Linked DNA regions of Arabidopsis thaliana. The protein of the gene in region 1 interacts with the protein of each later gene in a pairwise test. Each region holds a gene or a part of one and is shown on either strand. Other genes may lie near its edges. The genes, in order: DEL1 and AT3G11100.

Evidence for each region.
Region 2: the proteins of DEL1 (region 1) and AT3G11100 interact in binary tests that used the Arabidopsis thaliana proteins (3 or more experiments, as listed by UniProt).

The regions. Positions count from the first base shown.
Region 1 is NC_003074.8:17,781,336-17,786,974, reverse strand, and holds DEL1 (DP-E2F-like 1), read right to left. Parts: upstream 3,645-5,639; 5' UTR 3,335-3,644; coding exon 3,201-3,334; intron 3,124-3,200; coding exon 3,056-3,123; intron 2,967-3,055; coding exon 2,914-2,966; intron 2,830-2,913; coding exon 2,752-2,829; intron 2,642-2,751; coding exon 2,588-2,641; intron 2,497-2,587; coding exon 2,385-2,496; intron 2,223-2,384; coding exon 2,155-2,222; intron 2,064-2,154; coding exon 1,988-2,063; intron 1,881-1,987; coding exon 1,819-1,880; intron 1,722-1,818; coding exon 1,316-1,721; coding exon of another isoform or gene 1,287-1,315; exon of another isoform or gene 1,253-1,286; intron 1,230-1,252; coding exon 1,129-1,229; 3' UTR 815-1,128; downstream 1-814. Other genes in the region: ALDH10A9 (aldehyde dehydrogenase 10A9), read left to right, coding at 1-91, 179-239, 339-445, 595-685; APC8 (anaphase-promoting complex subunit 8), read left to right, coding at 4,410-4,495, 4,959-5,271. UniProt on the Arabidopsis thaliana protein: Inhibitor of E2F-dependent activation of gene expression. Binds specifically the E2 recognition site without interacting with DP proteins and prevents transcription activation by E2F/DP heterodimers.
Region 2 is NC_003074.8:3,475,580-3,480,029, forward strand, and holds AT3G11100 (sequence-specific DNA binding transcription factor), read right to left. Parts: upstream 2,322-4,450; 5' UTR 1,742-2,321; coding exon 1,006-1,741; intron 925-1,005; coding exon 911-924; 3' UTR 608-910; downstream 1-607. Other genes in the region: AT3G11110 (RING/U-box superfamily protein), read left to right, coding at 4,400-4,450.

The DNA.
Region 1 (5,639 bases):
AAATCTGGAGAGAGGAAGTCTTTGGTCCTGCTCTGTGTGTGAAAACATTCTCCACCGAGGATGAGGCAATTCAGCTTGCAAATGACTCTCAGTGAGTGTAGATTTCTCTTCTTATCTTGAAGTAGAACTCCACTGATGACGTGTTAGATCATATGCCTGACTTTATTTGTATTTGCAGATATGGATTAGCAGGCGCAGTATTATCAAATGATCTGGAGCGGTGTGATCGTGTTAGTAAGGTGTGTATCTAACTTTTACTATCAACAATAACAATCAATAACCTCATGATTGAACTTAATCTCTAAAGTTTTATGAATCGTAATCATTGTGTGTTTCAGGCTTTCCAGGCGGGAATAGTGTGGGTCAACTGCTCTCAGCCATGCTTCTGCCAAGCTCCATGGGGTGGAACCAAACGCAGTGGATTTGGCCGTGAATTGGGAGAATGGTTAGTCTCTTTCGTTAGCTATAAGTATTAAGATTATCAAACCATTAGAAAAAGACACTCTCCAACTAGATGGAATTGTGTCCATAGTAACTTAAACCGTAATAGATTACCAACAAAATTTGAATTGAAACATATTTTCTTCGTCGCAGGGGACTTGAGAACTACTTGAGTGTGAAGCAGGTGACTCAGTATATCTCTGATGAACCATGGGGATGGTACAAACCTCCTTCCAAGCTCTGAGACAAACACTAGTTCCTGATATTTCCTTAAAACATGTACTCATGAGAATATACCAATAAAGCAAGAGACCCTTCTGTAAGAGAAATGGTATTGCTACTTTAAATTCTTGAAAAAAATGAAAAATAAGATGAGATGATATTTCTTTTTGTTTTTCTCAAAACAACATGCCATACAAAAGTAGCAAAAAACTGGCGAAAGATGAATGCTCTTATATGTAACATACAAAAGTTACAGCCTACAGTAAACTTCAGAAAGCAAAGAGGGTATGCGATCTGTGAATTAATGTCGGATTCTTGCAGTTACAATTGTGTGGAGAAACTAAACCACATTGATCAAAAGAAATGACTCTTGAAGCTCTCTACACGAATGATGATTGATGTTCACAGGTAAGAGAAGAAGAAGAAGAAGAAGAAGAAGAAGAAGAAGAAGAAGAAAAAGAAGATCTAACGGTGTTGTGATGTATTAGGTAATGGATTCTCCTGGGTGACTTCGCTGAACCATGTCTTCCAAGCATCCATGTAATGGGAAAAGAGGTCTTTCAAAACTGAAATTTGTTCAGAAACAGAGTTAATTTCATAGCAATATTTTGACAAGTTTGATATCAAATGGATGTGAATAAAATATATGCACCTTGGTTTTGGTAAGAGGGACGGTAATCAGAATCCAGATTCTCAACATCAAAAGCTCTCCTAGAGTTATCCTCTAAACCAGCAGTTGGATATGTACCAGTGCCTGGTGCAAAAGGTCCAAAATGGTAACCTCCTCTTGATCCATGTCTTGATTCATGAACATCAAAGCTTTTGTTATAAGAACTCTCTGGTGTTGAGTGCTTTTTCATCTTTAGCCTTCTCTCTGTAGCGTTTTCTTGGGACGAAGATGATGATTTGCTTCTCTTAACATTGACGTTTGTAATATCAGTTCCGAAAGCTCTTTTTCTTGACTCCAATTGCAACAAATCGCTGCTCAGTGTGAAAGTAGGCTCACCATTGTACCCTAACCACTTGAAAGCTGGTTTCCTAGAATCTAAGGTGTGAGTCTGCCACCAGAGAATACAGAAACTAGTAAGACTTAAATCACAGCTTGAAATCATAGATGGTTCACAACTGTTGTAGCTATTGATAACTTTGACTTACCTTCTCTATGAGATTCATTGACGACAAGACATTTGCTATATCATAAAGCCGCCTCACTTTAGCTGCATAAAAGTAATCAATGTGTCAACAAACACAGATCGATTTGTCTCAACCGAGGATGTTAACATAAAAGAAAAGACTTTTCAGGTCACAAGACGAAGATAATTACTTCGCATTATTGATGTATTGTGGGCATCACCAAGCAGTAATTTTGCAGCGTCATCAAGGGAGATGATCCTAATAGCCTAAACAGTTGAACACATAAAAAACAAATCTTTAGTAACTTAGTGAATAACTCTTTAGTTCAAAAAACGAATCTTTGAACTTCTCACTTACTTCAGAGCAAATAAAGAGTTTGATAAAGTTCTGAGTAAGCAATCCTAAAGATTTCTCTCGTCGGTTATCTGTCATACATAACCAACCAACAAAATGTTAGGATATCTACATTGCATCTCATAATTCATATCCCACATATAGAGTTACCAAGAGGGTAAATCACTTAACTACTTTGCAATGGCACTAAACCCGAACACAATAAGTACTACACGCACAAAATGAAACAGTACCTATTTTGGAGGGATCTGAAGATTGGGGAAGAGAACCAGGTTTTGAACTATCAGTCTGGCTACTAGAGTGAGGCTGAGAAGACTCTTCATCATCATCCTCATCATCAGATCCCTGAAAGTATGAAACTTTAAGCATTAGAAGTATGAAGACAACAAACTAAAGACACAAGTATATCAAAAGAAACCAAATCCAAATGACTTACTTTAACATTCTCATTGACATAGAAACGATGAAAAGTGTCCTTAACCCCCTCTTCCTACATCAAGAACACTTCCTATGAGAATATGCAAATCAAATCGCTACATTTCTTCACAATTGGGATTGAATGGGATTGAATCCGAATACAAAACAAATGAAAAGACTCACTTGTAGCTCCTTCAATGCTCCTGGAATTGCGGAAAACCCTTTCCACGTATACTGATTCTTTGCTCTTCTTGTTAAAACCTAAATTAGACAAAACTCGAATTAAGCAAACATAACACTTCTGGATTCTGAAAAAAAACAAAGTAGTGGAGAAACAAGTCTCACCCCAACACTCTCCAGAACATTAACAATATCATAGATTCTTCGTCTCTCCACTCCTGAAATAAACCCCAAAAACCCCAATCAACAAATTAAGATGTAAAATCAGAAATGAAAATAAAAATCACAAACACAAAGTGGGCAATACCTAATTTCGAGGCAGCATCATCAAGCCCAACCATTTCAATCCCTTCTCGATTATACAAAGCTAAGAAACTGAGTTTACGAAGAACACTAATCAGAACAAATTCAACAACAAATAAATAAAATGGGTTTAGTAAAAAGGCACTAACTTGGTACAAAGAAGTCCGAGAGATTTCTGTTTGCGACTATAGGAATGGTGTAATTGTAAAGCCGAAGAAGATTCCGGTATGGAAGAAGGAGAAGTAACGGCAAGTTTGAATCTTTCTGGCGATAGATCTGACATGGTTGACGCAAACGATGTCTGCGATTGAGAATTTGATATTGTATTTTGGAGGGATTTCCTAAAAAGAGAGAGGGGGAATTTCCCAAGATACTTGAGCGCCAATTTGAATTTTTTGGCTCCTCCTTCTCCGTAACATTTACACACTCCTCTAAATTTTGGTAAAGCTGAAACCTTTACGGTTTTGTGCTCGGTTCAGATCGCAATTTTTTGGTTTTTGTCTTTTTGTTTTTTCGGTTTAGAAAATTTCTTACAATATTTTCAGGATTCTGTTCAACTTTTTCATTTTTCTTTTCCAAAATTAGATTACATTAACCAAAATAATACATTTTCAATCAATATTATAGTAACAAGATCTATTTTGGATATCTATCTTTTTACTTGAACTCAAAAAGTAAAGTTGTAAGGGGATTTTGGTTTTGTAGGATTTAAAAGTGATTTGGTCTGAATTTGTTTTTGGTTTGGTATGGTTTGTTTGGTTTTGGAAAGATTAAATCTTTTGATTTGTAATCTTGTAAAGAGTAATGCCCTTAAAATGGTAGATTCATGATAGTGTTTAACTACTTGCATAAGCAAAATCAGGGTCTATCTTTGACTAAATTATAGTCTTACCATTAAAAATTTCTATTGACCAAAACAAAAGGTTATTTTGTCCAACTAAGATTTTTTTTTCTATAATAGTTTTGCATACCTTTGGTCTTACTCATTTGAGCTAAACCAATTAATTTAAAGTTGTTGACAAAACAAAAAAAAAAAAATTGCATTCTTATTTTATTTTTACACTTTTTCAATAATTCATTGATACCTAACAGAAATTAATACAAAGTGACAAAATTGATATGATATTAAAATTAGTTGTGTAAAGAGTTTTTGTGTGTGTGTGTATGTTAGTTTCATGGGCCTATTTTGAAACCCAAAAGTTAATCAATGGGCCCAATACACACGATCTCTCTGTAAATTTCAAAATAATTAAGATGGAGGGAGCAAATGTTTCTGAAATCTCTCTCCACGACGAAGAAGAGATTCTTCGATTCTTTTTTGAATACTTAAAGTTAAACTCTCAGTTTCTGCTTCTGCTATGGTCTCTAAAGAGTGTTGCCGAAACGAAATACGTGCGGCTATTCGACAGCTTAGCGACCGCTGTTTATACTCCGCCGCAAAGTGGTTCGTTTTCTCAAAACCCTAATCTTATTCAACCTCTCCCATTGTTGCAATCTCTAGCTCGCTACTGCTCTGGTTCGATTAAAAATCGATTTTTTCACTATCCTTTATGGGTTTTACTAATTTTTTTGTATCCTGGGCTAATTGTAAACAAATTTGGTTAAGCAGATTCGTTGATTCGAATTCACTTTTGTTGCGAATTTGGTGTTGGATACATTCCAATTCAGATGATTCGACATGTGGGTTTTGTGTTATGATATGTTTGAGCTCGACACTAATTGAAAAAATGTGTTCTTTCGATGGGAACTTCTGATCTCCGGTTCAATCTTTCGATATGTTTGAGCTCGACACTAATTTGTGAATTATGAGTTAAAGTTTCAGTTTTTAGTACTCGTATTGTAGTTCAATGGTGGTGAACTATTAGTCAGTTCCATATTTGATATCTCCTTTGCTTTCATCATTGCAGGGCAGGAGAGCAGCTTGTGGGGATAGAGCAAGACCCGTCTAATTTTACACCTGCGAATACGAGGTTTCAGCGAGGAAGCTCTAGCATCCGGAGAAGGTTCAGCACCAATGAATCTATTTCAACACCGTTACCTTCCGTTGGCTTCTCTCAAGCAGCTACTCCTCTCCCGGAAGAAGATGAAGCGATTGATGGTGACATTTACCTTTTAGCAAAGTCCTATTTTGATTGTCGAGAGTATAGACGGGCCTCCCATATGCTTCGTGACCAAGTGAGCAAGAAATCACTGTTCTTGCGTTACTATGCGCTTTATCTGGTATGTTCTGTTTCTCTATCTCCTATTTTCTATTTAGCTAGAGCTTTTATATCTTATCAGAATAGGGTGATGGAATGAACTTTTTAAAAGTTGGCTCCAAAATGCTTTTGAGTGTTCTTTTAGCCTCGGCCAGTAGGCTGCCTTCAAATAAATGCAATATATGGACGTTATTACAAACTTATAGGACTGAGCCTCTGATTCACAATTTTGTTGATGTCCAGTCACAGTTATGTTCTATGATACAAGAGATATGAGGGTATGCAACTGATATACAAAAGTAAATAAATGAGTGAAACTTAATTGGAATTGTTCGTCCTGTTTAAAGACTATTCTGTAAACGTTTATGGCAATTACTTACTGAGAGCTTG
Region 2 (4,450 bases), about 14 Mb from region 1:
TTGCTTTACAAGTTATCTTTGACAATCTAAAGTCTGTCCCTAATGTATGAATTCCAGTATGCATAATCAGATGCTTACTTCATCATATGTATGAAAAAGGGTTTTAACTTCAAAAGTAACCATCACATGCGATGAGATAACTCAGGTACAAGATGAGCCTTGGAAGGTCAGAGTCCTTACCAGTTTTGGACCAAGTGGTAGGCCAAGGTGAGTAAAGTGAGGTGTTTTAGATGAAGAGCTTCTTTGTAAGTCAGGTATGAATAGGAGAGCACATGCTTATGTCATCCCGAAATTCTACCAAACATGAAACATTGATATATATGCTTCTATGATGTTCTTTTTTGAGGCTCCAATAATACAGCCTCATGTGTCAACTCGTCTCCCTCAGGCCACAAGAGTCTTGTCCTGGAGATTCCAGAGTGCAGCAAAGTCACATAAGCAAACATCCAAATCAATAGCTTGGTGGGTTTGATCAAATTCCAAACTGAATTATGAATGACTCTGATAAGAGTTCTCCTCAGAACCGTTCTACGCATCTTGTTAAGTCTGTACACATTCCTGAAACCTGCCTAAGCAAAAGAGTAATTGCAGATCACAGAAAGAGAGATGAGCACAATTTGGAACTGCAGACACTGATACACAAACCATCATACATTGATACTTCACAAAAGTACATCTTGATATGTCAGATACTATGAGAGTTCTTTTGGTAATTCGCATTGCTACTACCAATGTAACTCTACAATGCTAAAAAAGAGAATGAAAAAGAAGAAGAAGAAAAAAAGCATCGCGCTATAACTTAAGAAAACCTAAAGATCAATAATAATAACATCTTCTCCAAATCGTATGAGCTTTAGATCCAACCATTGCTCCTTGCTTCACATCAGTAACTCCTCCACAATCTACAATCCTACAACTTCTTACCTATACAACAAACAAAGCACAACTGAAGTTTCAGTAAACTCATCAATCACAACAAAACACACATAAAAATGAAAACTTTACCTGAAGCAGCTCTTCGTTTCCCAAGTTTAGATTTCTCAAGCTCCAATTGCATCTCCATCAACATATTCATTCGTTGTAACTCAAGCTCCTTTGCAACTTCCATTCTCTGTTTCTCCAATTCAATCATCATCTGTTGCTTCTTCCCCTCGATTCTCTCAAACGCTTCCCCTAACTTCAGAATCGATCTCGCTAGCTCCCTAAAGGCTGATCCTTCACTCGAATCTACATCTTCAACTTTACGATGCTTCCTCACCACAAATCCCCAATCACCCGCATCATCATCATCTTCTTCGTCGTCATCATCATCATCATCATCGTCATCGAGAGAGCTACCAGTTGATTTAGATCCAGTAGGATTCAAATTAGGGTTCATCAACGCCGATTTAACAACAGCACCGGACGATTTCTTCATAACCGGACCGATTAAGAAATCGAGTCTATCAAAGAAGCACCAATTCGATAAAGGTTTCGCCTTTTCAGTTTTGTACTTCTTCTTCAACGTATCGATCCGGTTTTTGCACTGTACATCGGTCTTTGGCCGGCCATTCCCGTGGCTTGAATTGACGGCGTCGGCGACTTCTTTCCAATCGTTTTGCCGGAGATTTCCCCGGTTGAGATTGACGTAACGATCTCCCCAAGCTTCGATCAATGTCGCCGTAGCGTCTTCGCTCCACCAATCCTCTCTTCCCGCCGGTAGACGGTGAGTCTTCGACTGAGTCTCCGGCGTCGTCTCCATCTCGGAGTGGGAAAGAGAGGAGGCTAACGTGCGCGGTGGAGAAAGAGGCTTAGGATAAGAATTTCTGTTGGATCGGATTTTTGGTAAAGTTAAAAGAGAAATTACGGTTAAAGGAGAGATTTTTGATTACCGGCGGTGACGTCAGCAACGGCGATTATCTTCTTTCTCCTACCTCTCTCTTTTTCCTCTGCTAACCGAATCAATCACACTCATTTCTGAAAAACCGGTTATCGAAAACGGTTATCGAAAACCGGTTTAATCATAAATTGAGAGTCCTACTAACTAGGCTACTACTAGTTATAGTCAATTTCAAGCTTCTTTTAATGCGTTTCTACGGGTAATGATGATAAGATTACATTATTAAACTCATAGACTGATTGATAATAACGATTAGGGCTAGAATCTCATCAGTTCATGTCATTATAGGAAATCTTATAACGTGTATTTTTGTGTATTCTAGGAAAGACAGTAAATATGAGGTTGTATTAGTTTTGGTAGTGGTTTTTAAAAGTCATAATTGGAAAGAAAGAAATGTTATCAGAATATTAAGAAAATTTATACGTTTTGTGTATTCCAGTAACAAGATCATTTACGTTACGCCGTAACAAATTGAAGTTTGGAAGTGAAAAATGGTGGGATGTAATTAAGGAAATAGGTAAGCAGGCGAATTGTTAGGTAATAAGAGAGAGCATCGCAAACGTGTTAGGTCGTAGACTCTATGTCTATAATGTATGTTTCGTGCCGTGTCTTGTCTAATTGTCTTTTTGCTGTCTCGCCAATTGATATGTTAGTCCATGCCTAACTACTACTGTTTCCTCATAACTACTAAAATGTCGCTGAAATATTTGAAAAAAGAGCTGAGGTGTTTTTTCTGTCGATCAAAGTTTCCACGATGGTCTTGGTGAAGAGCTAGTAGAAATAAGCATATAGTTAGTGATGTTAACTTGGGCATTGAATAGCCATTTGTTAAATGGGTATGTGCAAAAAAAAATAACCCATTTAAACCCATTTAGAGAAAAATATCAAATGGGGTTAAATGGGTTACCCCAATTAAACCTATTTAATAAATGGGTTTACCCACAAACAAATGGGTACCCATTTATGTTTTATTTTATATTAGTTATTTTTATTAAAAAGTAGATAACTTAATTATAACTAAAATAAAGAGCAAAATACTAAATATATTTAAAACAAAACGTAAAATCACGTTTTTCCGCTAAAACCCATAAAATTACGTTTTCCCACCAAAATCACGTTTTTTACCAAAATCGAAAATCACATTTTCCCACCAAAATCGTAAACCGACGTTTTTCCGCCAAAATCGTAAAATCACGTTTTCCCGCCAAAACTGTAAAATGACGTTTTCCCACCAAAATTGAAAATCACGTATTTTCGCCAAACCCGTAAAATCACGTTTACCCGCCAAAATCGTAAAATCACGTTTTCCCGCCAAAATCGTAAAATCACGTTTTCCCGCCAAAACCGTAAAATCACGTTTTCCCGCCAAAATCACAAAAAGTGTTTTCCGCCAAAACCGTAAAATCACGTATTTCCGCCAAAACCGTAAACGACATTTTCCCGTAAAACCGTAAAATCAAGTTTTCCCGCCAAAATCACAAAAAAAAATATTTTTTGCCAAATTTGAAAATATTATTATCATTATATGTTATTGAAATCTATATTTTAGTAAATTATAAATATTTCAGATTTAGCTAATGTTTATGGACTGTTGTTATTTATCTATTAAGTTTATGAATTAATTAATAAAAGGCAATATCTCACTTAATTGGTTTAAATGGGTTCACATGGATTTACTAAATTTAAATGGGTAGGGTTAAATGGGTTTCAAAAATAAATGGATTTATATGAGTTTAAAGTTAAATGGAGTGGGTTTAAATGGGATGGGTTTAATTGGGGTGGGTTAGCCCATATTAACATCACTACATATAGTTTTCTAAACTAAATATGTCATTATCATCATTTACTGGTTTACATGCATCTTTTATACATTTCAAACTTTCTTATGAAAACGCAGATGTGAAAAGATAAATCATGATTTACAGGTTATCAAAGTGATGTGAGTTGGAACGTAAAACAATTTAGTTTGTCAACTGAATCTTAGACGCAATCGATTATTGTTACTCTTAAATCACTTTACAATAATATCAAATATCACATCCTGCAGCCAAGTAATCGAGCTAATCCATGATCAAGTATAGGTGGTGAAGCAACTAAAAATGTAGCCAATTTCGTTTGTACGCATAATTAAACAATGCTATTTATTTTAGTATGTTGCTACTTGCCAGTTGCTACCATTGGGATCTCGAAAACACACAAACGTACGTGCATGTTGCCTAATATAGTCTTTATTATTGTTCCTAAACTAATTAAGACAAATTAAAACAATATATAAAGTAACAAAAAAAAATCCCACTTTCCTTCAAACTTGAGTCTTGCTTGTACAGACAGTTGTACTACTTGTGGAAGCTGTTTAACTCAAATTAATATTCTCTTTCTGTTATTTTATTTAAGGAAATACAATCACGTGACTGAGATTAGCACTAGTATACTATATATATACATCACGACGCTGTTTTTATACATACTATATATCAACGGCCAGAATTAAGTAAGTAACCATCCATCGCCAACCGGAAAATGACGTCATCTTCACCGTCTCCACAAGCCTCGATGCTTTTGTACTGGCAC